Linked DNA regions of Cricetulus griseus. The protein of the gene in region 4 purifies or fractionates together with the protein of the main gene of each other region. This does not show direct contact. Links are inferred from orthologs where the notes say so. Each region holds a gene or a part of one and is shown on either strand. Other genes may lie near its edges. The genes, in order: Gsk3a, Lrp6, Ppp2r5a, Axin1, Hipk2, Amer1 and Dvl1.

Region 1 (4,275 bases), on a different chromosome or scaffold from region 4:
CATCAGCCTTATCTGACCTTTTCTTCTGGAAGAGATGTGACCAAGTGGTTGAGGAGAGGGACTTCCGAGTCTACAGGCCAGAGCCTTCCCCCGAAGGGGCCCTTACCATGCAGCCTCATTTCTGCTGACATAGAGCAGGAATAGCAGCAGGTCCTGCCCTCAGAGATGCTTCAGGTCAATTAAATTAGAACTTGCCTGTCAAGCACTTAACACCAAGGAAATGCCCAGTAAACATTAGCTCTCAGCTCTTCTGAAATTTACATTTCCCCCAGTTCACTTCACCGGAATTCCCTCTCTCCTGAGGCCCATGCTCAGGTCCCGCTGAAATCCTGGGCTCAGGCTGGTGAGACACATCAGTCCATAGAAGTGCTTGCCATGCAAGACCGATGACCTGGGTTCAATCCCCAGATTCCAGGGTGGTAGGAGAACCAACTCCCAACAGTTGCCTGGCCTCCGTATATGCATCATGGCACACACATACATCATACACATGCACACATTAATAAATAATAGTAAGAACATTAAATTCCAGATACTAGTCCTATTGCTGGACACAAACAGCAGTCACTCCCAGTCCCCAAACCGCCAGTCCACTCAAGGTACCTTGAACCTTTTGTCCTGAAGAACCTTCTTGATGGCCACTAGTTCCCTTGTCTCTGCCAGCCGTGCCTGGTACACGACTCCAAATGAGCCATTGCCAATCACTTTGATGTCAGTGTAAGCCACCTCTTGGGAACGCTCTGGGCCTTGGCCTAGAGTGGCTACCACTGTGGTCACCTTCCCGCTGTCACCTAAGGAACAAAGGGAATACAATCTACTGACCTTTCCCAGGGAGGGAAAGCTGTTCAAAAAACTCACTGTGGGTGAAGGGACAGTGATTACTTGGTGACAGAGTACTGTCTGGCACACACCTTGAGTTCAATACCTGAGGACAGGGAGGGGAGCTTAGCTACTCCAGTAACCCGGAGCCTCCCTCCAAGGAACCCTACATTCTGCTTCCCATATTGGAGGGCACGGACATGCAAACTTATTTCCATTAATGTGTAAGTACCCACTTTCTCCTTTTAGCAAACAACAGCAAGTCACTTGGTGGTGGGGGACCATCAACACCCTCGGTGCATAACCCAGCCGCACCGGGCTCCCCGGCCTTTGGCCCCTTCTGCAGGGCCACCACAAGGTACCATCTTCCACTCAAAGGAGCAGAAACTATGAGGTGTTCGTTCTTCCAGAAAACTCTGGCCATTCTCACAGTCTGAGGGCACTAACTTCTAAATCCTCCCTGGCAGATCAAGGACCATTGCCACTGCTCCTGAGTGACGGAAATGAACGGGGCTAACTGACAGTGCCCTGACCCTCACTTGTTGCTAGGGGTGGGGGTTGCTGTTGCTCTTACCTAACACTGCACTGATTGGGATGTGTGGGATATTCTTAGTGCCATTCCCAGTCACCTTCCGAAAACTTATCAACAAATTCCAGTTGGGAGGGGGCAGTGTATGACATTTTGAAAAATAATCCTACATTGCTTTTTTTTTTTTTTTTTTTTTCCCCAGAGCCAAAGACGGCCACTTCAAACCCGTATTTTATAGTAGGTGTGACCCAGGCCACCCCATTCTATTTTTTGGCTAACCAGCCCCGCCCCCCCCCCCATTTTTTTCTTTTTAAAAAGAACACTGTTTGATTTGAAGCTCATTGCTATTCCCAATCTGCTGTCATTTACAAACAGCAATGATAACTCGCTGTCAGCATTGGGGACACAAGTCTACACATTTTCGATGGGTAAGGTGGTCATGTCAGGCCTTATATTTCAAGCCTGGCCCTGCTCTGTGGGAACATCAGTAATCCTAAGTCTGCACTTCTAAAAGAGACATTCCATCCAAATCCCCATTTCTGATGGAAAGGAAACCAGTGCCCCCCCCCCGCCCCCTTTTCCGTATAGGACGGTGGCAGTGATCTTTTTTATTCTTGTCTCTTAGGGGACAATGATCCTAGATCACCACTGGCAAGTAACTATGACCTCTGATCCTGTTCCCTAGTGCATGGCAGCGTCGTCAAGTACCCGGGACCTTGATACTGGATACTGGAAGAATGGGGCCTGTGACCTCTGCTTCTCGGATGCTGGTAATTCTGATTCTAAACTCCAAGGGATGGGAGCCCCCCAACTCCTTTATCCGGGAGCCCCGAGAGCCCAGATCCCGGTGTGAAACAGCACGGTGAACCTCAAGCTGCTTCTTTCTATCTGGGTCCCGGGGAAAAGAGAAAAAAAAAATAGAAAATAAAAATAAAAAATAATAATAAAAAAAAAATACCAAAGAAAGCCTGGCCGCCGCCGTTTGCCGGGCTTGGGGGACCCCGATCGCCGCCGCCACCGCCGCCACCACCACCCCACGGGGCGCCCCTAAGTACTCACGGCCCAGCTTCACTCCGGGCGGCGGGAAGCTAGTGCCCGCGCCGGCGCCAGCGCTGCCGCCTCCGCCGCTGCCGCTGGGGCCACCCCCGGAGCCCGAGGCGCCCACGCCCCCACCCATAGCCCCGACTGACGCCTTCCCGCCGCCACTGCCTCCCGGGCCGGAGGCCGAGCCCCCGGGGCCGCCTCCACCGCCTCCGCCTCCGCCGCCTGGCTCCGCGAACGAGCTGGTCCGCGCCCGGCCCGAGCTCCCAGGGCCGCCTCCCGAAGGCCCGCCGCCACTCATGGCGCCGAGCGCAGGCCCAGGGCCGCGGGCTCGGGCTGCCTGGGCTGCCCCTGCCGCCGCCGCCTCTGCCGCCGCCTCCCCTGGGCTCCGGCCTCTTCCAGGCCGCGCCGTTCGGGCTCCGGCTCCGGCCCAGCGCCCGCCGCGGGGCACGCCGGGAGATGAAGTCCCTCTGCCGTCGGCTTCGTTGTCGCCACCCTCGGACTCGCACAGCACGCCGGGAAATGGAGTTCTCAAGACCTCAGAGTAGCTGACGGGGGGGGAGGGGGGCGGGGAGGGGGGACAGAGGGAAAAGGGGTGGGGGGGAAATACGGTTCGCGCTGCACGTCGGGAAGTAGAGTCCTGGATAATGTCACCCGACCCTGACCAAAGGCAACTCTAAAATACTTCGGAAGCCACATTCAGGGCAAGACGCTCATTACACAGATGCAACAGCAAGCCCCAGAGGCTATCAGAAATGAAATCCTAGCCCCTCCATCCCGGAGCGGCCTCCAACCCTGAAGCATTCTGGGAAATGGAGTCCAGTCACCCATCCACTCCCATGGGCTGGTCGGTGACTTCCTGTGCCGGGTGCCTTCTGGGAGATTGAGTCCGCACTCGTGCACCCTCGGTTCTTGATCTGTGAAGCACACTGGGAAATGGAGTCGTCACCACGCCCTCACCGCATTGCAGGTGTAGAGCGTTTTGTAAAGCACGCTAGGAAAAGACTCAGGTGGTCCTCAAACCCCAAGTAGATACTGTAACTGGAAGAGGTAGGATAGGAAATGGAGCGGGCATCGCGCTCTCTCTGTCCAGTTAGCTGCGCCGCAGTTCCTTCCGGGAAATGTAGTCGACACCAAGAGTTAAGCGCGGTGCTTCAGCCAGCCTGGTGTCTTCTGGGAAATGAAGTTCAAGACAGCCTCATCTTTGAGGAAGGGGATGGGAGCGACCAGCAGCCAGAGGCATGCTGGGAAGAGTCCACAGTGGAATCTGACTCTTTGTGAAGCTAGGTGCAGGGCTTCTTGGGAAACGTAGTCCAAAGGGAGTGCTGTGGCTGGCAGTGGAGGTGAAAGGTTAAGGACGAGAGTTCCCGGGGGGAAACTATTAGGAGTTACAATGTCTCCTCCCTGGTCCTCAGCCCATCAGCCACTGCTGGGAAAAGGAGCCAGTCCCTCGAGGGCCACAGATTGGGAAGAGAAACACGTTTCCTCCCTGAATCCTCCAAGGGTTTCACGAACAGTCCCGGCCCGACCGACCGACCGACCGCGGGTCCCAACGCTTGTTTTCGGGGACTCTCTCTCTGTCTCCCTCTGTCTCTCTGTCTCTCTCCCTCTCTCTCCCTCTCCTCTCTCTCTCTGTCTCTCTCTCCCTCTCCTCTCTCTCTGTCTCTCCCCCTCTTCTTTCTCTGTCTCTCTCCCTCTCTCTGTCTCTCTCCCCCTCTCTCTCCCCCTCTCTCTCCCTCTCTCTCTCTCCGTCTCTTCCTCTCTCTGTCACTCCCTCTCTCTCTCCCTCCCTCTCCCTCCCCCTCTCTCTCTCTCCCTCTCTCTCCCTGTCTCTCTCTCTCTCCCTCTCTCTGACAACGTGGTTACAGCCAAGAGGACGAGCTGCA
Region 2 (3,933 bases), on a different chromosome or scaffold from region 4:
AATCTAATAGAGCACAGCCCTACCTGCCTTATTTGCAGCTATACATACGCACAGGAGAAGCTCCTCTGAGAACACTTGCGGGGGAATGGAGTAAATCCCTGCTCTACCTTTATCTACCTGGCAGATAATGCCCCTGCTCCTTGCAAATGACCACAATACCATCTACTTTAAGCAATCCTGGATCTTAAATTAAATCTTTAATTGCCAACACCCATAAATAATCAAAAGTTTTCACTCACACAAAAATAACATATATAGCCATGTGTTGTGCACTCAGGAGGCTGAGGAAGGAGAACAGTTGCATTTAGAGGTCAGCCTGGGTAACACAGAAAGATCTTGTCTTTAAAACTTTTAATTAATATTTGGAAAGCACTTTATATGTTACTTCATTAAACACACCTAATAACCCTGCAAATCAGACAGACAGGTATCATTACCTGTGTTTTACAGGTAAACTGAGGCCGAGAGAAATAGAGCAGGGATAATGAAGATCTAACTTTAAACTCAAGACTTCAGGGTGAAATCCTCAAGTTTCACATTTTTCCCAATATACCTGTCGATTGATAATAGGAGTAGGGAGTGACTCTGATACTGGCAGTAGTAAATGACTCTCAACTGCTGATAAACAAGGCTGCAGGGCCAAAAGTCCCAAACCCACACACCCAGTCTGAAAGTGCCACCTTTTCTTCAACTACAAGGAACTAAACTTTGCTCCTGGGAAACCAAGGGTAACTAACTGTCATTTATAACAGAGGATAACATTATCAAGGAGTAAAGAGAATTTAAAGTAGGAACAAGAATGTTTTATATCAAAAGACAGTTTCAGTTGAAATGATAGCTACAATTAAATAGTAAACAGAAGATCTCCTCACACCATTATTATGCTAAATTTAAAGGCAGCTCCACTTTGGACTGTTATTTCTTCTTGGGCTTGTTAGCATCATGCTCCTAAACTATTCGTGCTTCTCAACTATCACCACAAATACAACCAAGTAATGTATCTACTCAACTCTAGACTCAACCCTGATATCAAAACAAATAGCATTTGCACCACACCATGCCCGGCTAAGAACTGCAACTAGCCATCCTAGGTTATGGATTTGGCTTTTCCCAACTCTGATCAAACCACTGGCTCTTACATTTAACTCTTATGAACCTGTCAATTATATTCTCATGTCAACTGCAACTTTCTCGATGCTATAGCAAAATCTCCTTTTTTTGTAGACTTTACTATAACAAAATAAACATGTATTATTAAATCTCTCAAGTATCTAATAATATAAAGTTCTCTACCATGAAAATTAAACAGCAATTATCTTTCTGGAGTGTACAAGTAGGACTAGACAATTTGGAACAAAATGCTTATTTTTAGAAAATGCTTGCCTATTTTTAAAGGCTACTACTCTTATTCACATACCCAGAGATGACACACCTGTCCGGTTTATAAGATGTTAGTTACTATCCTGCTTTGCCAACTTCCTTACTTCCAGAGGAGTTAAAAGTTTAGCTTGTTAATAACTAAGAATCCCGGAGAGGTCCCATTAACTGGCACAGGTGAAATGAACAAAAGCAGAACTACAAGCCACAGCGTCAAGAGACGCCTAAATTCCTGCACAGGTGAAACACTCAACAGCATCAGCCCCACCTCTCACCAACTGGAGAAGACCATCGACAAGCTTTCCCTTTGCAAACTGTCGCTCGACAGGACGTAGGTGTCAGCTTCGCAGTCCAATTCCAAACACTAAATTTAGGCGATTCCCACAGCAAATTACCCAGGGCATTCTGTTATTTACTCAAGTGCCAAGCAGTTCCCAGGGGGTGCCCAGCAAATGATCATTTAGTTCCCAGGATAAGCTCCTCGCCACACGAGGATGACTCCCCTACTTGGTGCCAACTGTACACTGCACAAACGGAGACAGGGGGCGAGTCCTGAAGACCAGGGGTTGCGAGGGCAACGTGTGTGTTTTATTATGGGCTCAGAAGAGTCCCCGATGCTGAAAAGCGCGACCTATAACCCTAGAGTCAATTTCCAACTGTGCTCCCACCCAGGATCATTCTATCCCAAACGGAAGCCAATTATCAGTTGTTACAAGGCCTGGAGGGGAGAGGGGGAAACAGTGAGGTTTGGAGAAGAAGAAGAAGAAGAAAATAAAAAGTTCACCTAAGAGACACGGGAAAGGTGGGGGCTTCGAGGGAGGGAGGGAGGGAGGAGGAGGAGGTCAACACCGACGGTGCCGAGAGCCCCACTACAAAAGACCCTTTTCTGCCCGGGAGTGCAGGCAGAGCGAGGCACAGTCGGGGTGCGGGGGGTCGGGGGGGGTCCCCCCGAGGCCCGCAGCTTTGTCCGGCCGCGCCGCGGGGCCGGGCAGGGGTGTGCGCCGTGGCCGGGCGCGGCCCCCCGATCGCGGGCCCCCTTGCTCGCGCGGCTCCCCCAGCACCAGGCCTCGGTTCCCCGCCGCCTCCCCTCCCCTCCCCCCCCCGTCCCCGACCCCGGCAACTCTGCCACCGGGGCCTCCTCGCCTCACCTCTCAGCAGCACGCAGAAGCTGCAGGCCAGGAGGCTCCTCAGCACGGCCCCCATCTTCCCCGCTCGGCGCGCGCTCGCGGCCCTCACCGGCGTCCGGCGGCCAGGGGACGCGCGAGCGAGGAGCCGGGGCGGCCGCCGCAGCGGCGGGTCTGCACGCTCATGCTCTCCGCGGCCGGGAGGAGGAGAGGAGGAGGAGAAGGAGGAGGAGGAGAAGAAAGGAAGGGAAGAGCGCACGTCAGGGCTCTAGCGCGCCGCTCCGGCCCGGGCTCGCGCGACGCCCAGCGCCTGCCCCATGCCGCCGCCTCCTCCCGCGGCGCCCCACGTCCGCGCGGCGCCTCATTCAGCCTCTTCCTCCGGCCGCGGCGCAGGGATCCGCCGCGGGGCCGCCGCCGTCTCCCTGCGCGCCCGACCCGCCCCCCCCCACCTCCTCAGCGCGCCGCCGCCGGACCCGGGAGCCGCCACCGCCGCGCGCGCCAACGGCCCTCCGGCTTCCCCACCCCCGCGCGAGCTGGGCCTCGCGAGCCCCGGCAGGCTGACGGGGAAAAGGTCTTCCCGGGGCGCATTCCAATGGGATTCTTTCCCCGGGCGGCGGAGGGCGTGAGGCGACGTCGGCCGACACTGGGGCCGGCGTGGTCGGGACTACTTTCTGCGTCCCGGCCCGTCGCCGCCCGCGCCGCTCTTTGTGCGCCCGGCCGCGGAGCCAGGTGGAGCTGCGCGCGGGACCCCGGGCTGCGGCGGGCGCTGCGCCCGCCTCGGAAAAGAAACAGTGCCAGCGCGGCTTGCGCTCGCTCCCTGCGAGCGAGCGAGCGAGCGAGCGGTGAACCGGGTGGACGCTGTGCAGAAGCCGGCGCGAGGCAGACTTGTAGTGCGCTGAATTGAGAATCGTTGTATGAAGTGATATGAGCCAGACTATTATTTTTTTGTTTTTAAAGAAAGTATGTTTCCTCTCTCTCAGTGTGGAGCCTGCGGTACATAGTTACAAAGTCACCTATATGCGGAAAAGACCAAACTTGGAAAGACAAAAAGATTGTAGGTCCTAGATTTTATACACATTGTAAGCCTGACTCAGACAAATGTCTCTCGTATGTGGATCTAGATTGTCTGGGTGTGGGTGTGTGTATACATAGACAGACAGACAGACAGACAGACAGACGAGCTGACACATATATGATAAGTAAACAAAAGTGTGGTGACTATCTGGGAGAAAGAAGGAGGCTAGTGAGATGGGGAGAAAGGGACCAGCATAGGGGTTAATGCGTTAAAAGAAAATTACATGCTTGAATCTTATCCATCATTATGTATAATGAATATAAGCCAAGAAAGAAAAGAAAGAAAAACAATTTCCTTTCTTTTCCTTGCCTTTTTCGTGCCTTCCCAGAAATGCAGACTTTTTTCTTTTCTTTTTTT
Region 3 (4,166 bases), on a different chromosome or scaffold from region 4:
CGCCTGAAACTAACCTTCTTAAGCCTCAACTGTCTCCTAAATAGTTACTAGTGTCAACCAAAGAAAGATATTTGTGAAAATACTGAGCCCTAGACTGTCAAATAACAGCAAAACCACAGTAGGTGTGAAAAGGCAGATGACAAGGGTCAACAATACACATTTTGGGTTGTTCCAGTTGTCAGGGACAACACTGGTTTGTCTTTTTAAAGATAACCATTTGAAATACTAAGCTGTTATTATACATATAAGCAATCAGCTGTTTTACCAAGCCAATCCTCCCAGAAATTTAAAACAAAACAGACTAGAGACACTGAAAGACTACCTATTTTAAATGACAAGTTTCCTAATTATTCATTATCAAATAGCAAGTTTTAGGTGAAAAAAAAATTACATCCTACATGAATGTAAGTTGCCAGGCCAGAAAAAAAAAAAAGATTCATATATAATTTTCCTAATTTTATTTCCCAGCACCCAGCTCAGAGGAACTTACTATTTATTTTGAACGTTTTCAACATTAAAAATCATGCAGCCCACTCACCTACATGATTTTGCAAAAATAAACTGAAAAGGTTGTACTGTTTTGTTAATCCTTACTCACAGTCTGCTTTTAAGAAAACTACTTGGCATCTTTCCAGTCCGGATCCGTGTGGACAAAGTGTAGAGTAAGCAGGTTGATATAAATACTTGAAAGATCTCGGATGCCCACGGATATCTGAATCACTCCACAGTAAGACTGTATTTCAGAGCAGGAAGAATTCTCTTTCATACTAAAGGGCTTTCTGGTGGTGTTTTTGTTAAACCCCTAAGTGGGGGAGAAATACTACTGGCAGAAAAAACATGCAACACTGTTGTATCAAGGGCACTGCCAAAGTACCAAGTAAAACAATTCAATTTTTCAAAGCATTTTGGCAACTACAGTAAAAGTTCTTTTTCCTACTCTAGGGTTTTATTTCCAAGTAAAAGTTTTATTTCCTCAATTGAATCTTCATCAGTTTATAGCGAGTAACACCTTTAGGAATAGAACACAAACAAATATCTAAAATCGGTCTGGAGTTTCAACTTTTTTTCTACTACTGACCAAATTCTGTACATAAACGCAACTTATGGTACCTGCAACTTCTTGAGTCAGACCCCATGTACTGAGAATAGGGTTAGTGATTCTATAAATTTCTGTCAGCTTTAAAGGCAAAGACCTATTAAAACTGCAGCTCTTGAGACTAACCAGATGTTTAAAATCAAATTATTAGGTAAAAGCACTAAAGTACAATATGAAGAACAAGAATAACTCACTTGAGAGGATTAAATATGAAAGAAAAATACTAGTATCAAGACTTCAAGCTAAAAATAACTCGATAAACTAATGAAAAACAACCAAGTACAAAATAACTTTTGTATAAAAACTTAAACCTCTGAATAGTGATTCAATAGCCTAACAGGTAAGACAGGATTGTTTCACGGCTATGGCTGCACTCCACTGACCGCGCTGTTATCAATTCAAACAATCCTAGTATGTCAACAACAAAGGAAATACACATTGAACATTTATACACTCTTTTCAAAAGTCCGCTGTGGTGTGTCCTTGACTCAGACGCACCCCAAGAGGCAGATGTCGGGTCTGAACGGGGTTCCCAATCTGTTGTTGGTCAACTGTTGAGCTGGGATTTTCTTTACACTCCTTCCTTGCCTGACGGACTAAGTTAGGATTCACAGACCCAAAGACAAATCAGAACCAGACTGGCCTTGAAAGAAAGGATGCTGGATCTCTGTCAAACGCACTGAAAACTCTGCTGATCGTTTATCTATTTAGGCATGAGCCCTTAATTTGTTGGCCTTGTAAATCATTCTCTAGACTCCTATCAGGTTTGCAAGAATTTCTCAAATACCTAGGAGCGTAATTATCTTCCCACAGTGACATCCAGCTCATAAGACGCAAAGGCGTTAAGACCATTAAACCAAATGCAAGTAATTCTCAAAAGGACAAGCAAGAGCGCCAGGAAAACAACTTCGTGAAAAGCCCCCAAACCCAGTGGGAAAAGTAAGTGAGCCAAAAGAAGTGCCAAGCACTCCTGCAAGGCATTGGGCACCACACCAATTTGAACCACCGTGCAAAACCTCACTCACGAGGTGCCGGCAGGCACAGCCGCGGGAACCGAGCTGCCGGTGCACGGCACAGACACAGTCCTCCCCGCACACCTCTCCAGAGACACCCGCGGTCTTCTGGGGGCTGACACCGACGCCTCTCCACACTCGGGGCAGCAGCCAGCGCACTCGGACCCCGGGTCTGGCGACCGAGGGGCGAGCAGAGAAAGTGAAGCAGCAGCTGGCGAAGCCTGGGGGGAGCCAGGGCAGAGGCTCGGCCGAGTGGGGAGTCGGGGTCCCCGGGGCCGCCACCGGGGGCATGTGGGAAGAGGTGCGGGGCTCGCCGGGGTGGGGGGGGAGGCTGGGGGCGGGCGGGCGAGCGCGCCGGCTTTACCTTTGAGCTGGGGCAGGGGGTGCAGCTCCGCCTGGCCGCCCTGGCTGCGGAACTGCGACGAGCCCTGCGAGCGCTTCTGCCTCTGCGCCTTGCGCACCGATTTCCGGGTGAAGCCGTCCACTTTCTCCGCGGCCGAGATGGCGGCGGCGCAGGAAACCGGCGCGGGCGGCGACGGCGACGACATCTCCGCGGCCCGGGAGCCCGGCTGGCCCGGGGAGTCGGCGAGGGACGGGCGCGGCGAGCCTGCGCCCCTGCGCCCCGGGCCCGGGCGCGCCGCCTGGCGCTCCGCGAGCTGCTCCCCGCCCGACAGCGCCTCACGGCCGCATCCCGGCCGGCGGACGGGGGGGGGGAGGGGGGCGCGGCGCGGCCGCCACAAGTGTGCTGGACGCCCGCCGAGGGGGGGCGAGCGGGCGAGCGGCGGGCGGAGGTGAGCCCGAAGTTTGGACGACGGCTGGGGGCGAGCGCGGGGTGCGGACCGCGGGCGCGCTCGGCGCCCCCTTTCAGCGCGCGGAGCCCCGGCGGCTCCTCAGAGGCCGCTACCCGCGCCGTCCGCCCGGCCGGGAGCCTCCTCCCGGGGCGCTGCTGCCATCGCCGGTCCGCGCGAGCCGCCGCCGAGCGCTTCGCCCTGCCTGTCCGTCAGCGCCGCGCCCCTCATCGCGCCGCGGCGGCCACCCGCGCCCGGACCCTGCGAGCGAGCGTCGCCCTGGCTCTGCTCCCCCGCGCGCACACGACGCCCACGGAGCACGCCGGGCGAGCGACTGCTACAACTCGAGCGGGCGGCTGGGACGGCGCGGGGCGGCGGCGGCGGATGGCTGCGGCGGCGGTGGGGCGGGCAGGGGGCGCCGTGCGCGTGCTTGCCGTGCGCGCTCCCGCGGCCCGGGGGCGGTCCTGGGGGGGGGGGCGGAGGGAGGGGTTTGGCCGACAACTTCCGCGGGGTCCCACGGGCCTCCCGAGGCTCCGGAGGGGGCCGGGGCGGGAAAGCATGCCAGTGCCCTCAGCCAATCACAGGGCGAAGCGGGGACGGGGCGTGGCCTCCCGGATGTCTCTCGGGAGTCCAGCGCGGGGAGGGAGGGGGGTGCTGCGTGACAGACGCGGGCTGCAGCCAATCGCAAGTGGAGGCGGTGAGCGGGTGGGCGGGGTGTGCCTGTGCGTCACAACTGCGAGGAACGCTCTCCGGAGGGACGGGCGCGGGGAAACGCCGCCGTCGGCTCCGGCCCGCGCTGCGCTCCTGACAGAGGGAGAACGGAAAAGGAGACCAGCAGCTCGGGAAGCAGAGGCGCGGCGGGCACGGCCAGAGAGGACCTAAGAAGGCCGACTGTGGCGTCAGCGGGGCGGGGCGGGGCGAAGCGAAGGTGGCGTCACAGCCATGTGATTGACGGGTGGAGAGGAGTGAGCTCGTCCAATCGGGACGCGGTGCTGGGCTCCTGGGCGGGCCCTGGTCCTTCGGGTCCGAAACCGCGTAGTTGATGGTTTGGGAGGCTTTTGTAGCGCCCGAGGTTTGGGCGCCGCCGCGGTGCTCTGAGCGCTGCTCTCGCCTGGGGTTTGGGCGAGCTCGCCTCTGCCACCTCAGAGAACTCTGCGGGTCCACGCCCTCTGAGAAGAAGTTCTCCGTTTCGAACTTAGCCCCGTTTGACCCCTTCGGCTGGAAGGCCTTCGGTCATCCGTAGTCAAGTTCAGATCTCGGTGGAGATTC
Region 4 (3,500 bases):
CAGTATGGGTTCTAAACACCAACCATCTCAGCACCTGGGAAAGGTTTTCATGTTGAGATTAATGGTAAGGTAAGTCTCTAGTCATCAGCTCTAGGGAAATAAGCAGGAAACAAACTCTGCCCACAAGTAAAACAAGCACCAAGGTAGCCAAACAAGCTTCCTGTAACCAAGATACTAAATTTTAAAAAACAATAAAGCTTGGGCTGACAAGACAGGTTATCAGGTAAAGGAGGCTGTCACCAATCCTAATGACTGAGTTCAACCCCTAGAACTCACAAGAAGAGAAGTGATTCCTGAAAGTAGTTCTCTTACCACATATGCACACACATGCCACATGAGCCTGAGGGCAGTGCCTCCCCCACCCCCCATACTTGAGGTGCAGGCGCGCACGCACACACACTCACACAGCGGAATAAATGTAAAAATATATATACATTAAAACAGAAAAGTGAAGAAACAACTTTCAAAGCTACAGTCACTTGAGAGCACTGTTGTCCTCCAGTTGCACCCTTGGACTACACCCTTACTGACCACACCATGGAGGGAAAATGTCCAATTCTGGAATTCCAAGCACAGACATCAGTAGTTTCTGAATCTCTGAACCTCCCAACAACTAATGACACAGAAACTGCCCCACTACTGTCTCATCCTTCAGGAAAAATCCAAAAGATTGATTAAAATAGTAAGGTGTGGGAGGTGGGTTTTGGAGAGATGGCTTGGCAGTTAAGAGCACTTGTTGCTCTTCTAGAGGGCCAGGGTTTGAATCCCAGCACCACATGGTGGCTTGCAAGTGTTTGTTAACTCCAGCCAGTCTCAAGAGATCTGAAACCCTCTTCTGACAGAAATTCTGTGGGTACCAGAAACACATGTGGTATACATACAAGGCTATAAAACGGCCATACACATAAAATAAATAAGTCTAAAGTTAAAAATAAATAAATTAGGATTTTCTATGCATTTGAATGCATTCCCCTCCCATTATTAAGGGTTAGGGTGTCTGTCTCCAATCAGGTCCCTCTTTTATGAAAGATGACATGAATTTTGTGCTCAAACGTAAAGCTTAAACATTATGACTTCTAAGAATTTCCATGTTTCTAATAATTCACAAAGACCTATCTTTAGTAGTACATGTGTTACTAAAGAGGGAACTAAAGGAGGGTTTCCAGCATGCTATGCAGGAACTCTGATAAGCCTCCACGACTTTTCATTTTGAATCTCTACAAGTTGCCCAGACTGACAAACAATTTTTGATCCTCCGTCCTCAGTTTCCCAAGTAGGTGGGATTACATCTAAGTCTTGTTCGATGCATTCTCAACTCTGCAAATATAAAAAGGTATAATGACAAGCATGAAGACATCTAAGTAGGAAATAGAACCACACGTAATTCAACAAGAGCAGCAGTAGAGATTTCAGCTGGGATTGAACACAAGGCCACCTGTTACCATCTTTCCCTTGCTCCTTTGCCAGTTCTCCAAGGTGTGTATAGAAAATGGACACCTTGTGCCGAACTCACCTGAGCTCTCTGCCTTCGCTGTACCGTCTACTTGAGGGGGCCCTCGGGGCAGCAGTCTCCAATAGCAGCTTCTGGGTGAGCCTGCTGGGGGGGACAGAGTCTCGGCCATCATCTTCATCTGCATCTTGGTCACATTTCCATTCTTCATCTTCATTCAAAGTAGGCAGGTATCCAGACATGCCTTTCCCTGTCCCAGACCCTGAGCTCTGGTCACTGCAAACCTTCGGACTCTCTGAGCCTGTCCTTGTGTATTCCAAATAAATGTCAGACTTAAGGAAAGAAGGGTAGGTATTCTCCTCCATGGTGGACTGGATTTCTGTCTGTGCCTGGTCAAACATGGCAGGATCGATCTGCTGCTTCATGACACAGTCCTTTATGAAGCTCTTAGTGGCTGGCTTGGTTTGTCTGGACACAATGCCATTGCTATCCAGGATATACTTTCGATAGATGGCTCTTGCCAGCTTCAGCCTCTTCTCCTCATTTGAGTCACAAGGCTCAAGCTTCCTGAAGCCACTGCAGGCAAACCAGAAGTCCAGGAGGTCAGCACAGCCCTCCTGCTTCAGGAAAGTCCTGAACAGGCTGATCCCATCTTGGTCATCCAATAAGGAATGCAGTGACTCAGCCCACCTCAAGTATGGTGGGGTGGGGGAGGCACTGCCCTCAGGCTCATATCCCAGATCCAGATCTGAACGTCTTGGGGTAGCTGTTGAGGTCTCACTTTTAGTGCTGGCACCTTTCCCAGAGCAGAAACTGTGGTTAACAGGCCTTGAATCAGTAGATACCAGTTCTCCCTCTTCTCCAGGCACTGGGGGCCGGGGGGCATCTTCGGTGAAACTTGTTCCGAGGTCCAAGGGGAAACCCTGCTCCTGGACATTCATTTTGGGACTCTGCGTCAGTGAACAATGAGCGCTGCACCCTAATACCTCAGTACTTACAGCTCCCAAGGGAATCAATCTGTCCTGTTGAAACCATTAAGAGGACAAGGATTAGGAAAGGTGGTCCATGGAAACACCAGAGGTTCTCTTGAGATGTGCAGTGATGCCCCCCCACTCCCACTTGGAGCAGAGACTCATTGCAGACTTCCAGCAGAGACATATCTGGGCCAGAAGTTTTGTTCTATCATTAAGACAATTTCTGGAAACTTTTACAAGAATGTCTCTCAGACCAGCCTGGTCTAAAAGAGCCAGTTCCAGGACAGCCTCCAAAGCCACAGAGAAACCCTGTCTCAAAAAAAAAAAAAAAAAAAAAAAAAAAAAAAAAAAGAATGTATGTCTCTCCTACTAAGTGAAAGACTAGATCTTGGAGGGCATCTCTCTTTCAGGGGATGTTTTCAGTGATGAGGCCTGAAGATCACCCATCCTGACACTAAAGAAATGACTGTCTGGTGGACAGGAAAGCTAAAGAAGGGAAGGTGCCTCTGTAGCCATTTGCTAGCATCAGTGACCTAGATGGTCCCTCACACATAAAGACAACCATATCACTTGCCCAAGTGACACTCAGAAACAAAGAGGCACACTACAGATCCTAAGGTGGATAGGCACATTCCAAGTTTAACAGTCTCTGTACTAACCTGTCTGCTCTATCACTTTTCATACTTGATATGCCTCATAATATAAGCAACCACATAGCAAGATGTGCTTCCAGCTCTCAACAGCTAAGAGATCAACTGTTCATGTGCCACCTTCCACATGATGAAAAGTGATGGAAGGACACAGTCCATATGTAGAGGCATCTGTGCATCAACATAAACAACCTCAGAGATGCAGAAAGCTATACTTACTTGGCTGCCAATTTCTCTTAGAAGAAGAGTCCCTTCTGATAGCAAATGGTAACTAGAAACTTAGGCAAAAAAGGTATAGGGAAAAATGAATTACAAATACTTTAGCTTTTTAGCTAAAGAAGCATACAGGAAATATGGTTTAGCTCCACCAGATGAAAACCATACCACCTACACTCTTAGAGATTAGGGAAATAGTTTTTGCTGCTG
Region 5 (4,281 bases), on a different chromosome or scaffold from region 4:
AGAAGGATCTTGTGGATTATTAGGAGGAAATCCCTTTTCTTGGAGAAGTCTGCAGGAAAAGCCCTGCTCATTTAAGACAACACACACACACACACACACACACACACATACACACACACACACACACACACACACACACACACACACACACGGGGGGGGGGGGGGGCTGGGTTCTGGTTGAGATAATAGTAAAAATCAGGTTCACTAAATCCACAGATTGTCACTTCGGGTCAAGGGAGAGGTCACTGTCGTCTTGGGCACACACACTGTGAGTTAATGTAGGTCCTCATAGCATAGTCCTTGACTATGGAGGTCATTCATCTGTCTCACAGCAGGCCTAACAGTCACTCTGAGAAAGACCAGGCCTGAGCTTTGGGCTAGGTGATTCTGGGCTGGTAGAGAAGCAGTGCTCAGCAAGACTAGGAAGATAATTATGAAGATGTACAGAGATGATCCCATAGAAGCTACAAACAAAAGAACAGTTCAGAGAACCCACAGACAAGATTCAAGAAAGCCCAGGGTTGAAAAAGGTGACAAATTAGGTTGCCTGGGATAGAGAAGGGTTGGAAAATAAAACTATGAGCCGAGACCCTTGAGATCTACAGTCCTACACTGTAATGCCTTACGCACCTGTAATTCTTTATCTGCCATATCACTGAAAGAACCAACCATACTAGGCCTTACTTAGCCCCCGGGGGGGGGGGGGTAGCCTACATTCCTCATGGATTCGAATGAAATCAACATGATAAATGCAGTCCCCAAGGACTTTGTACAAAGTTGACAAAATACACCTCAACCCACCTAGCCAGCCCCCTGGAAGAGGAAAAGCAGCCCTCTTTTACAGTTGTGGATTCAACGCCAAGTTCCTTCTAAAATGCTCACCCCGAGTGTCCAGCAGAGGGAGTCTCAAGGAGGTACTTAATAAAGAGAAAACTGTTTCATTTTAACACTCTAGACAGTGGGAGCTTTGACTGCAACCCCCTCCCCTAGAACAGATGAACAATGAATGCCCGACATGGTCTCTCCTACGTGTTCACATGCCCACTGGCTCGTTCCCATTCTATGTGGTGGAGTGATCTGAAATTTTGTTTTGTTTTGTGGAACGGTTAAATGGACCTTGTGTTCTTCAGAATCAAAGAGGAAAGCCCCTGGAATAACATTTCTCTGTTGCTTTCTAAACAGCCCCTTTGTTTCTCAGAGACTCTGGAAAAAAATATTTACAGTCCATAGGTTATTTACAGCCTCATTATTCAGAGCCGGACTGGTAACTTTATTCCGTGCAGAAACCTAATTCATTAGGAGCCCTGGAACTAATAACAGATTTTCTTTTCAGATAAGTTTTATTTTTTTAAACCAGCCTCTCCTAACAGAGATAAAACTATTAATGAGATCCCTGTTTCGCTGGGGCCCCAAGAGTTCCCCAGCTTCGTAGGATTACAATCTCCCCTCGCCCCTCCTCTTGGTTCCTGGCAAACCCGTTTCCGTCTCATTTGCGATTTCATCCACAGAATTATCTGAACAAAACCGAAAGAAAGCCAGATGGACCCACGCTAAAAGTATGTAAAAGGGCTGTTATTTCAATGATTTCACGAGAGACACATTTTCACGATGAAAATAACTGGAAAAAAAAATCGGGCACACTTTGGTTGAAAAAGAAAAAAAAAAGCCCCCGTACTTCAAGCACACAAAAACACACAGAAGTGTAAAAACTTAGTTGATTCGGGGTTGATTTTTTTTTTTTTTTTTCCTCGCTGCAAGCTGACGGAACTGACTGAAGAGAACCGAAAGAGTGCTTTGCGAGGCAGCCTTACCTTCCCTTTCTCATGAAGGCAGTCAGACCGGGGAGAGCAGCCAGCGCCAGGTGAAGGTGCACGGCGCCCAGATGCAGCCAGGGCCGAGCCAGAGCCCTTCCTCCGCCCCCCAAGCCCGAGCCAAACTACACTCTGCCTCCCGCACGCCGACTGCGGGGAGATTTTAAGCCTATTTCATTGTTCTGCCTGGGTCTGAAATGGACTTTTCATCTCTACCCTCTCTCGCCGCTTGGCCCCTTATAATTGGATTCCACAGCCGCCGCCGCCGCAGCCGCCACCACCCCCCAAAAAATATCGGAGGCTCGGGAAGAATAAAGGAGCGCGCGGGGTGGGAGCGGAGAGGACGGGCGAGCAGGAAGGAGACCATTTAGATAAAGGTGGTGGGAGGCTCGCATCCCCTCGGTCCACCGCGGGTAAACAGAGCAGTCGCGATCCGGCTCGCCCCGTACGCCGCCCCCATCGCTTTCTTTGGGCAGCAGCCCACCCGGCACACACCCCCCGGCCGCCTTCCCCGCCCCGGGCAGCAGCTCCCGCTCCAGGCCGGCTCCGGCACCGTCTGGGCCCGGGATCGGGGCACCGGGGAGGGTCACGAGCGCCCGCGGCCGGGGCCCGGGGCTGCCTGCGGGGCGAGGGGCCGCGGGCAGAACAAAGCTGCGGGGGCCGCGGCGGGCTGGCCGGCAGGGCGAGCGAGCGAGCGAGCGAGCGGGCAAGCCGGGGGCCCCGGGGTGCGCGGGCCGGACGCCGCTTACCTTCGTACACGGGGGCCATCGGGGCCGGGGTGTCCGCGGCTCATGGCAACGGAGCAGGGAACGCGGCGCGCGAGCTCGGCCCCCTCAGCCTCAGTGGGAATCTGCCATCTTGAGCCTGTGTTTCCTCCGCTCTCGGCGCAGCCCAGGCCGCCAGCGCCCGCATCACCGCCTCACTTGGCCGGCGCCGGGGGAGGGGGCCGGGCGAGCGGGCGAGCGGGCCGAGCGCGTCGCCGGCCGCCGCCCACCAACCACCACCACCGCCGCCGCGCCGCCGGTGGCCGCGGCCCGGGCCCTGCGCGGGGGGCTCGCCCGGCCCGGGGCGGCTAAGGCTTCCGGGCCGAGGCCGGGGCGGGTTCCCGGCGAGGCGCGGGAGCCGGGCGGGCTGCGGCGGCCAGGCCCGGGCCGGAGCTCAGCTCCGCATGGCTGTGAGGCGGGGGCGCCGGCAAAAGTTTGCCCGTGAGGAGCCGGGGGAGGGGGCGGGGGCGGGGCGGCGCGGCCGGGCGCGAGCGGGCGGGCGGGCCGGACGAGCGGGCGGGCCCGGCGGGCAGGCGGGCGAGCGGGCGAGCGCGAGCGAGCCGGGAAGAGCCCCAGGGAGTCCGCGCGCAATCGAGCGCCGATGGCACGGATGCGAGGAAGGCGGGGAAGGCCGAGCCGAAGGACGGAGCCGGGCGGCGGCGGGGGCCGAGCGCGGCCCGAGGGGAGCCGAGAGGCCGGACGTGCGAGCCGGGCCGGGCCGGGCGAGAGCGCGGTGCGCTGACCGCCGCCGCCGCCGACCGGAGCTGCGCGGCGGAGGCGGCCACAACTTTGTGTGCGCGTGCTTTTGCGGGGCAGTGCGCGCGCGCGGGGGGGGGTGGCGCGCGCCGGGCGAGCCGGGCCGGGCGAGCCAGGCCGGGGAGCGCGATCCGCTGCCCCCGAGCACGGTCCCACTGCCGGGGAAAAGTGTCCTGGTCCCAGCGCGTGCGGGCTCGGGGCTCGGGGCTCGCTGACACGCCGGGGGATGAATGGAGGGAATGGGCACACAGTCCTTTCTCTCCGGAGGCTGCCCGGGGACAGGCAGCGTCGGGGTGGACGCCTGACCCCCTCTCCTCCAGCATCCGGGTGGCAGGGTCCCACCTAGCGGTTCCAGGGTTTGGCTTTTTTCCTGCGCGCCGCTCGGATCGATCCGAGCGAACGAGACGTTGTTTAAACTCTCCCAGCCTCGGAGTCCTGCCCTGCCATCGCCTCCAACTTAGGAAAACTTGTTGAGTCCCGACACATGAATACACCACAAAACAAATTTAGTGTTTTTGAAAAATCCAACAAAATATTACCAGAATCCAACAACAACAAAAACACTAAAGCTCATTGCCCTTAGGAAGGTCAACTGTTGTACCTTAAACCCTTTGTTTTCACGAATAAATACTGGACACCTGATGTAAACTATATTAATCCCCATCTGCGGATCACAGGTCAAAACAGTTTAAAAGCTGTCTTGAGGGGTGGGGATGTAAAACGACGGCCTCCAACTCTACAACTTTCTTTAAAAACAAGCCCATTGTTTTATTTTTAAGCCCATTTTTTTCTCACTCTCCTTCCCTCCTCTGTATCCCGTGCTCATCATCCTCCCAGAATAAAAGACAAGCCAGCTCCTGCACACACTTAGCTTGTTTTGTTACTGGAAAATACGTTTCTCTTCGTCTTGGGATGGTCCTTGACGGCCATCTTCTCCGCCTCAGTATTGG
Region 6 (4,258 bases), on a different chromosome or scaffold from region 4:
ATGAAATATTATAGAAAGAGTTGGACTGAACTCATAGAGCTTATTACCGCTTTGTGGAAATGGAATGACTGGCTCAGACAAGAGAGCAGATTGGCCAAGGTCTCACAGCAAGTCTGAGGCAGAAAGGAAAGTAGATCCCACCTCTAACAGCCATGTCAATTCCTTTGCTTCACACAGGCAGTGGCAGCAGTCCAAGTCTCACCAGTCCAGCATCTGGATCTTTACAAGGTAGACAGGATCCAGTACAGCAGCAGACAACTCTGCAAGGGGGAGGGGGTGTCATTGTTCTCTAATCCTTTCCAGCTCTGCAACCTCAATCCACTTCCCCCTCCCCTTTTAGACTTTGACAGAGTTTTCAAGTTGGGATTTCTGTACATTCCAGAGCTGGTTATACAACTGGATTCTTTGTTGCTCCAGCTCACCTGGCACTGGCAGTTACTAATGCCTCTTAATGTCTTCAGGCTAGTTAGAGGCCTAAGCTCAGCTGGCTCCCAGCCACATTCCAGACACAGTAGCCTGCAAGGCTGGTCTGACAGGCCTCCTCACAGTTCCTCAGTCTGACCTCTGGTTAGGACTCAGACAAAACTTCTTTCAGCACTTAGATTTTTCCAGAAAAGGGATCTGCACAGAACGAGACTCACAATTGAAGGAGAGTGCTATGGAGGGCGTGAGACTCATTCCTTGTACTTTGGAAGGTATGGAATTGGGGTGAGAGTCAACTATAGAAACAGTTAACTTCCCAGAGAAGCAACGTGAAAGCTACTCTGAAAGGTCAGCATAGGTGTGTATTCCAAATATGCCCCGGTCGCTGGCAGTTCAAGTAATCTCTGAAAAGCAGTTTCCCTTTCCTGGGCAGTACGAGGCCCTTCCATTACTGATGGAAGTTGACCTCTATCTTGCCTTCCCTAAGTGTGCAGAGCAAGCTAGGAAGCTGTGGCTCTGGGGAGGCAGGTGGTGTGGTGTGGGGGAAGGCAAGTCACTTTCCTCTCTGGGAACCCCAGCCACTAAGCCCTGCTGCCACACTTAATAATGAGCCAGCCACGGTGCCAAAGGGTTCTGCAAACCCCACAATCCCTATGGCTCCTCACTTCCCCGCCCCACTTCTCCCAGTTGGTTTCAAGCAACGTGGAGAAACTCCTTGGTAGCAACCCGGAGCAGCAGCATGAAAGCACTGGCCACGGAAACAGGAATGCTCGCAAAATCGAAACCAAGTTCCAAGAATCTGGCTAGTCCCATCTGGGCGGGACTAGCTCTTCGAGTCGGGTGTGTAGCCACGCTGAAACCCGCCCCGCGTGGGGGCGGAAGTGGGAGCCCGGGCTAGGGGTTCTGCAACCTCTCCGCCCCCTGCCAATACCACGCCCGGCTTATTTGCATTTAAAGAGAGAAGCACCAAGGAAAACAGTGGGCGGGCCAGGGCATGCCTTCCCACTGTAGCGATTGGACTGCATGCCTGCCAATCAGATCACGGACGTCCCTCCCTGTAACTGTGGAGTCCAGGGTGAAGGGGGTATGGGGGAGCTGCCCAGAGCCTGGAGAAGGGTAGTTGGTGCAGAAGAATGCTGTAGCCGAGGTGTTGGCTGCGGCAGGAGCAGTCGTGGTGGCGTTCTCAGCAGAGGCTCCAGCTCAGAGCAGAGCAGCTCAGCAGACAATAACCGCACTGGGAGCTGGACCTGGCAGGGTAAGCATTGCGCACAGCTAGGAGCCATCCTGCTGGAGGTTAGTGCATCCCCGCGTGCTCTGCTCTGGTCGCCTGGAAGAGGGCATCAAGGGTCAGGCTGGTCGGAGTCCCGGCCTCTCGCTGCTGTTTCTTGGAGCTCGCTTTGCGTCCTGTCCAGTGAGGGGCCCAGAGGCCGTTAGTCTTTAGGGTACAGGAGATCGTGGCTGGGGGTGGGGTGGGAGGGCCGGAAGGCGGGCGGACTAGCCTGGGCTACGCCTCTAGGTTGTAAGGGGAGGCCGGGATGGGCCCACACGTGCTGTTGCGTGGTTCCGGGAGGGGCGCTGCTAGCTAGCACCCCAAGAATGTGTTTGCAGGCCGGGAACTCCTTAGCTTTGTTTGTAGTACATTTGCTGGAACAGCTGTTAGGCCGGTGCTGCTCACCCGCGAGGCCTTGCTGTGGCCCCTCCCCTCTGCGGTGCATCTCCTATGTCTCCTCTGCAGAGGAAGCTGGCGCGCTAGCAAGGGCCAGACTGAGACTGGCTTTAGGGTGGATTAAGATATCCACAGTCTGTTCCTCCTCAGGGGAGCACAGTTGGGTTTCTGAACTTCCCACTTATCCTTGGAACCTTGGTCCTGTGGTCCCAACTAGCCGCACCCCCTCCTGGGCCTCCAGTCTCATTTGGCTCCCACCCCCATTGCAGGCGGGCTGGACTGGGAGCTCTTACTGGTCCTTGGGTTAAAGCTGCAAGGCCGCTTTGTTGCCGCCCCCCTCCACCCTGCTCGTCTCTTTTCCCTTGTAGGGCATAGGGCGCGTTTTTCTCCCCAGCCTTTGGTTTAAAATAGCAATGGGCACAATATCGTGGGGGGATTTCCGTGCTAGAAGCGGAGGGGGCAGTCATTGTAGTAAAGAACACACGGTGTCTGTAAGGCAGACAAATCCTACAACTTCTCAGTTACTTAAAACACCCAGCCTTCAGACTGCTGTCATTGTCTGCTGCAGACACCTTTGACACTGGTGACCGCCCAAAGGCGTGACTTCTTCTGAGCTCCCTTTTGAGGGGCTAAGCTTGCCAGATGAGCCATGGGTAGGGGGGAGGCAGAGGCGGCAGCCGGACTAATACAGCAGAGCCATCCTCCCCCTTGCTGGACTCGCCTTGATATGAGTCTAGACAGCCCTGTCCGCATACAAACATCTTCTGCGGCTCTGGCCCGCCTGCCTTGGCAGCGTTGGCATGGACGGGACGCAGGACACTGCATTGTTGGACTTCCTACCCTACCACAGGAGATTCCAACAAACCCCCCCCCAAGTGCAGTACTCATGTGGCCTACGATGCACCATTCTGGACTATTCAGGCATTCCTGAAGAATAAGAGAGGGGGTTTGACTAAGGGACTTTGCAGGCTGGACGTCTTTGGAGTGGGGCAATGAGACCCAGTAAATCTCTTACTTGGGAAGGTTAGCATGGAACCTTCGTGATAGCAGCCAGGATTGCAGATACCACACTATTGGCAGCCCTACCTATGTTTACCAGACCTCAGCACAAACCTCTACTTGCAGCTGGACTTTTATATCCTACGTCTGGCTCTCTTCTGCTTTTACTTCAGCACAGCAGCCACATTTCCTACCTGCAGACACTCTCACCCTACCCCTGTCCAAGTCCTTTTCCTTTCAGGCCCCAGTACTCAACCAGCTTTTTCCTTGGGACATTTCAGGCTGCTTCTTGAGGACCAGACCCCTTTCTTGGAACTCCTGTATAGTTAAATTTCCCTAACTGCTTTGCCTCATATAGTTATCTAGGTTCTCTCAGAATGCTCATAAGAGTAAATAAATCTTTGACTTCAGCAATAACTCTCTCAGAGCCTGGCATTATAAAGCAGTTGATGGATGGATGTTCCAGAAGGACTTGCTGTCTTTTTAGAGTTTTAGAAAACACCTTTAGCCTTAGTTTGTTTGTCCCAATACATTAAACTTAAGGAAATGGTGCCCAAGGCTCGAGTGAGTGAGTGTGTGTGTGTGTGTGTGTGTGTGTGTGTGTGTGTGTGTGTGTGTAGGTGTAAGTGGGGATTGGGTTGTTACTACATTAAAAAAGAAAGTCATAATCAGTCCCCTCTATAATAACCTCAAGGTATGGACTGCTCAAACGCTGGGGCTCTGCATACTTTTGGTTGCTGATTCATGAGCCTACAGGCAAACTGCCATTGAAGAGATTTATATATGCAGTGGAGTGTCATCTTGTAAAGCAGCTGGGAAGTACAGGAGTTTGGTCCTGGAAGGGTAGATAGAATTAGAAATGAAAGGGAGTGGCCAGCAGGCAGCATGAGTCTGCTTGAGATGGCATAGCTCAGAGGTACAAAAGAGGTTAGGACCCAGTACTGGGAATTCCCAAATAGCAAACATTGGAATGTGATCTAATCTTTTTAGGGGGAGATCATTGAACAATGGGTGATTAGGGTGTGTGTATGTAGTTTTGATTTTTGCTTTTTTGGGGGGGAGAGGACTTGTTTTGAGACAGGGTCTCACTGGGTAGATCCAGCAACTTGGTTTGTAGGCCAGTGGCCTAGAACTTATTGACAGTTGCCTGTCTTGAATGTTAGGATAAAA
Region 7 (2,576 bases), on a different chromosome or scaffold from region 4:
CAGAAGGTACTACTTGCCTGAATATGCCCAGCCTGGGGCCCTCAGCACCCTGAACAGAAATATAAATATTCTGTTTTTAATAAATATATCCCAGAAATAAAAAGCTAGGCATACGTATGCACTGGGACAAAGCAAGAAAGCCAGCAGGTAGATGGCACTCAATAGGTAGGCCAACACCCACCTCCTCCCTTCCTAGCCCAACCCTAGCCTGCGAGAGAACCAAGTCACTACCAGCACCTTGGACAGAGCATAAGCAATGGTAGGGGTCAGCACCATGGCCAGCACCAGCCACCCAGGACCCCCTAGAGTCTGCTCCTAGTACCAAGGACAGAAAAGTTGTCTATGAGACCCCTGTAACTGGCCAGCACCAGGGACAGTGCCACATGACCAAGTGTCTTCCAACTCCAGGCAGGACCAGACCTGAGTCAGTTCTGGACTGGCCCCCACACCTGAATCCCAAGCAGCTAAGCTGGAGAAAAGAGAAACAGACCACACATCAGTCCCATAAAATTAAACGCTTTTTAGTGTTTAAAATAGCATTTACACAGAAGCAGCATTTACACAGAAGCAGCTCTATGTGAACTACCCAGTTGCTCAGACTTTGACACAGTATCTACAGTGCAGACATGTGGGACTGTGATGCCAGAATGGCAGTGGCACAAGCTGGTAGAGAGCCACCAGGATAGCAATGACAGGACAGGACCTCCATCTCCGTAGCTATTGTGTGCGCTATCACTCCTCCATTGAGGCTAAGACAGTATACAGGTGCCTGGCCTCTCTTGTCTCCCGTACTAGCCATCCTCCACATACTTTCAGTACAAACTGTGCTGTCATGTGCTGAGTACCAAGTGGGGAAAGGGACATGCACCTGCCCCCATTGGGTAACCAGCTGCCACCCTCAGAGCAGGCAGACTAGCAATAAATAAATAAGTTAGACCCCACATGGGCAGCCAGAGAGGTTTAAAGGCTTGGTCTAACCCCTCAAGAACCCCCCACCTTGGCCTGACAGGTGAGGCCCATGAACTCAGTGAGAGTAGGCCTGGGTCCCTGTGCACAGTTCTGGGAGTTTCAGGCTGGGGGTGAGGGGAGAGCACAGAGCCCAAAAGAGTCCGTCTTGTCCTAAATGGAGGTCACTTCCAAAAAAGGAACCAGAAGGTGGTCCCTGAGACTTGTGTTAAGGATCTAAAGACAGAGATGTCCCCTCACAAGACTCTACAGATACTTGGGCCGCACCACAGAGCAGGCAGAATGCCAAGCCCATATCCTAGTAATATGGCTGCTGCCCTCAGCCCTTCCTCTGCAGCCTGCTCCCTCTGCCCTGGCCCAGACCCCACGGCTGATCTATCTTGGCTGGCCATCACTAAGGCAAGCCCATAGAGGTCCTGGCACAGCAGGACCACAGACTCTTGCCACAGGCACCACTGAAAACACTGGTTGATAGTCACATAATGTCCACAAAGAACTCACAGGGATTTCCCATAGCCTTTTGGAAGGACTGGCGGCTACCTGTAAGTTCCGGAGGAACAGCAGCCAGCTCCCGGACAGGTGGCCCTCCAGGTGGCCCACCCACTACTGCATAGGCCTTTGTCAGGGGGTGCAGTGGGGGGAGACCTGGGGCAACAGCTGACGCCTGACTTCTAGGGCTACTGCCATGGCTAAGCTGGCTGACTGGACGCTCCCACCAGCCAGTGCTACCAGACCCACTTGGTGCCGTGTGATCTGATTCGCTGCCACTGCCCCCAGCTCCAGCTGCCCGGCGCTCCTCTCGGCCTGGGGTCCGATGGCTGCTCCTTGTGGACCCACTGCTCTTGCTCCCTGGGAGAAGGGAAGAGACAACCAAGTCCACACCAGGCCTAGCCACTTACAGGAACACCAGCTGCTCCCAGACAGCCAGGGCAGGATCTGGTGAGCCTGGGGGTAGTAGGGGAATGGCAGCCATGCAGATACCAGGAGCAGATGAAAGACAAGGAGCTAGGGGCAAATGCAGACAGGAGAGATAATGGGGACCAGCTTGGCACCTAACCCCAATGCTTGAACCAAGGGCTGATGTTATAGCTGAGAATCCAAGACACCAATGAAGGCCCTGTGTGCTCAGCATTCCCGTTAGCCATCTTGGGTTCACCACCCAAAGACCCACTGTCCACCCAACCCCAGGGCCCTGGTCAGCTAATTTTCTTAGCTTCTGTCCGGAAAGTGGTGGGAACCTGAAAACACGTGCTGGCTGGGGACATGCTGAGAGGGACACAGGGGGACCTGGCTTACCGGCCCGAGGGTCCACTCTGCTAGTCCTTCAGTCTAAGGCTTGCTCAGCACAAAGCAAGGGATAGCACAAGTCACACACCAGTCCAGTGCTCACCAATGGCCAACTAGGACTATTGTGGGTCAAGCTGAGCTTGGGTGCATGCAAGGGCCTGTTCAGGATTAGGAGTCACTCAACAGCTTCCCCTTGGGCATTGCCACCCTCTGGCCCAACCTCTCCTTTCTCCCATCCTATGTCCTCAAAGGTGACTGTCTCGAGTCTTTCTCCAGACCGTGTAACATGGCTGCTGTGCTCCACTCTGCCTAAGATGCCTGCT

The links.
Region 1: the proteins of Axin1 (region 4) and Gsk3a purify together in Homo sapiens (affinity purification with mass spectrometry; 12 studies listed by BioGRID and IntAct, with this or other methods). This does not show direct contact. The link is inferred for Cricetulus griseus from reciprocal best matches to the Homo sapiens genes AXIN1 and GSK3A.
Region 2: the proteins of Axin1 (region 4) and Lrp6 purify together in Homo sapiens (affinity purification with western blotting; 7 studies listed by BioGRID and IntAct, with this or other methods). This does not show direct contact. The link is inferred for Cricetulus griseus from reciprocal best matches to the Homo sapiens genes AXIN1 and LRP6.
Region 3: the proteins of Axin1 (region 4) and Ppp2r5a purify together in Homo sapiens (affinity purification with western blotting; 3 studies listed by BioGRID and IntAct, with this or other methods). This does not show direct contact. The link is inferred for Cricetulus griseus from reciprocal best matches to the Homo sapiens genes AXIN1 and PPP2R5A.
Region 5: the proteins of Axin1 (region 4) and Hipk2 purify together in Homo sapiens (affinity purification with western blotting; 3 studies listed by BioGRID). This does not show direct contact. The link is inferred for Cricetulus griseus from reciprocal best matches to the Homo sapiens genes AXIN1 and HIPK2.
Region 6: the proteins of Axin1 (region 4) and Amer1 purify together in Homo sapiens (affinity purification with mass spectrometry; 4 studies listed by BioGRID and IntAct, with this or other methods). This does not show direct contact. The link is inferred for Cricetulus griseus from reciprocal best matches to the Homo sapiens genes AXIN1 and AMER1.
Region 7: the proteins of Axin1 (region 4) and Dvl1 purify together in Homo sapiens (affinity purification with western blotting; 3 studies listed by BioGRID). This does not show direct contact. The link is inferred for Cricetulus griseus from reciprocal best matches to the Homo sapiens genes AXIN1 and DVL1.

What each region holds. Positions count from the first base shown.
Region 1 is NC_048602.1:9,986,737-9,991,011, forward strand, and holds the start of Gsk3a (glycogen synthase kinase-3 alpha), read right to left. Parts: upstream 2,801-4,275; 5' UTR 2,691-2,800; coding exon 2,408-2,690; intron 2,237-2,407; coding exon 2,057-2,236; intron 792-2,056; coding exon 604-791; intron 1-603. UniProt on the Homo sapiens protein: Constitutively active protein kinase that acts as a negative regulator in the hormonal control of glucose homeostasis, Wnt signaling and regulation of transcription factors and microtubules, by phosphorylating and inactivating glycogen synthase (GYS1 or GYS2), CTNNB1/beta-catenin, APC and AXIN1.
Region 2 is NC_048601.1:14,385,050-14,388,982, reverse strand, and holds the start of Lrp6 (low-density lipoprotein receptor-related protein 6), read right to left. Parts: upstream 2,801-3,933; 5' UTR 2,581-2,800; coding exon 2,526-2,580; intron 1-2,525. UniProt on the Homo sapiens protein: Component of the Wnt-Fzd-LRP5-LRP6 complex that triggers beta-catenin signaling through inducing aggregation of receptor-ligand complexes into ribosome-sized signalosomes.
Region 3 is NC_048598.1:3,652,438-3,656,603, reverse strand, and holds the start of Ppp2r5a (serine/threonine-protein phosphatase 2A 56 kDa regulatory subunit alpha isoform), read right to left. Parts: upstream 2,801-4,166; 5' UTR 2,658-2,800; coding exon 2,474-2,657; intron 1-2,473. UniProt on the Homo sapiens protein: The B regulatory subunit might modulate substrate selectivity and catalytic activity, and might also direct the localization of the catalytic enzyme to a particular subcellular compartment.
Region 4 is NC_048600.1:45,773,066-45,776,565, reverse strand, and holds part of Axin1 (axin-1), read right to left. Parts: intron 2,473-3,500; 5' UTR 2,392-2,472; coding exon 1,514-2,391; intron 1-1,513. UniProt on the Homo sapiens protein: Component of the beta-catenin destruction complex required for regulating CTNNB1 levels through phosphorylation and ubiquitination, and modulating Wnt-signaling.
Region 5 is NW_023276806.1:189,295,553-189,299,833, reverse strand, and holds the start of Hipk2 (homeodomain-interacting protein kinase 2), read right to left. Parts: upstream 2,801-4,281; 5' UTR 2,605-2,800; coding exon 2,561-2,604; intron 1-2,560.
Region 6 is NC_048604.1:74,628,269-74,632,526, forward strand, and holds the start of Amer1 (APC membrane recruitment protein 1), read left to right. Parts: upstream 1-1,458; 5' UTR 1,459-1,716; intron 1,717-4,258. UniProt on the Homo sapiens protein: Regulator of the canonical Wnt signaling pathway.
Region 7 is NC_048595.1:425,243-427,818, forward strand, and holds the end of Dvl1 (segment polarity protein dishevelled homolog DVL-1), read right to left. Parts: intron 1,816-2,576; coding exon 1,442-1,815; 3' UTR 501-1,441; downstream 1-500. UniProt on the Homo sapiens protein: Participates in Wnt signaling by binding to the cytoplasmic C-terminus of frizzled family members and transducing the Wnt signal to down-stream effectors. Plays a role both in canonical and non-canonical Wnt signaling.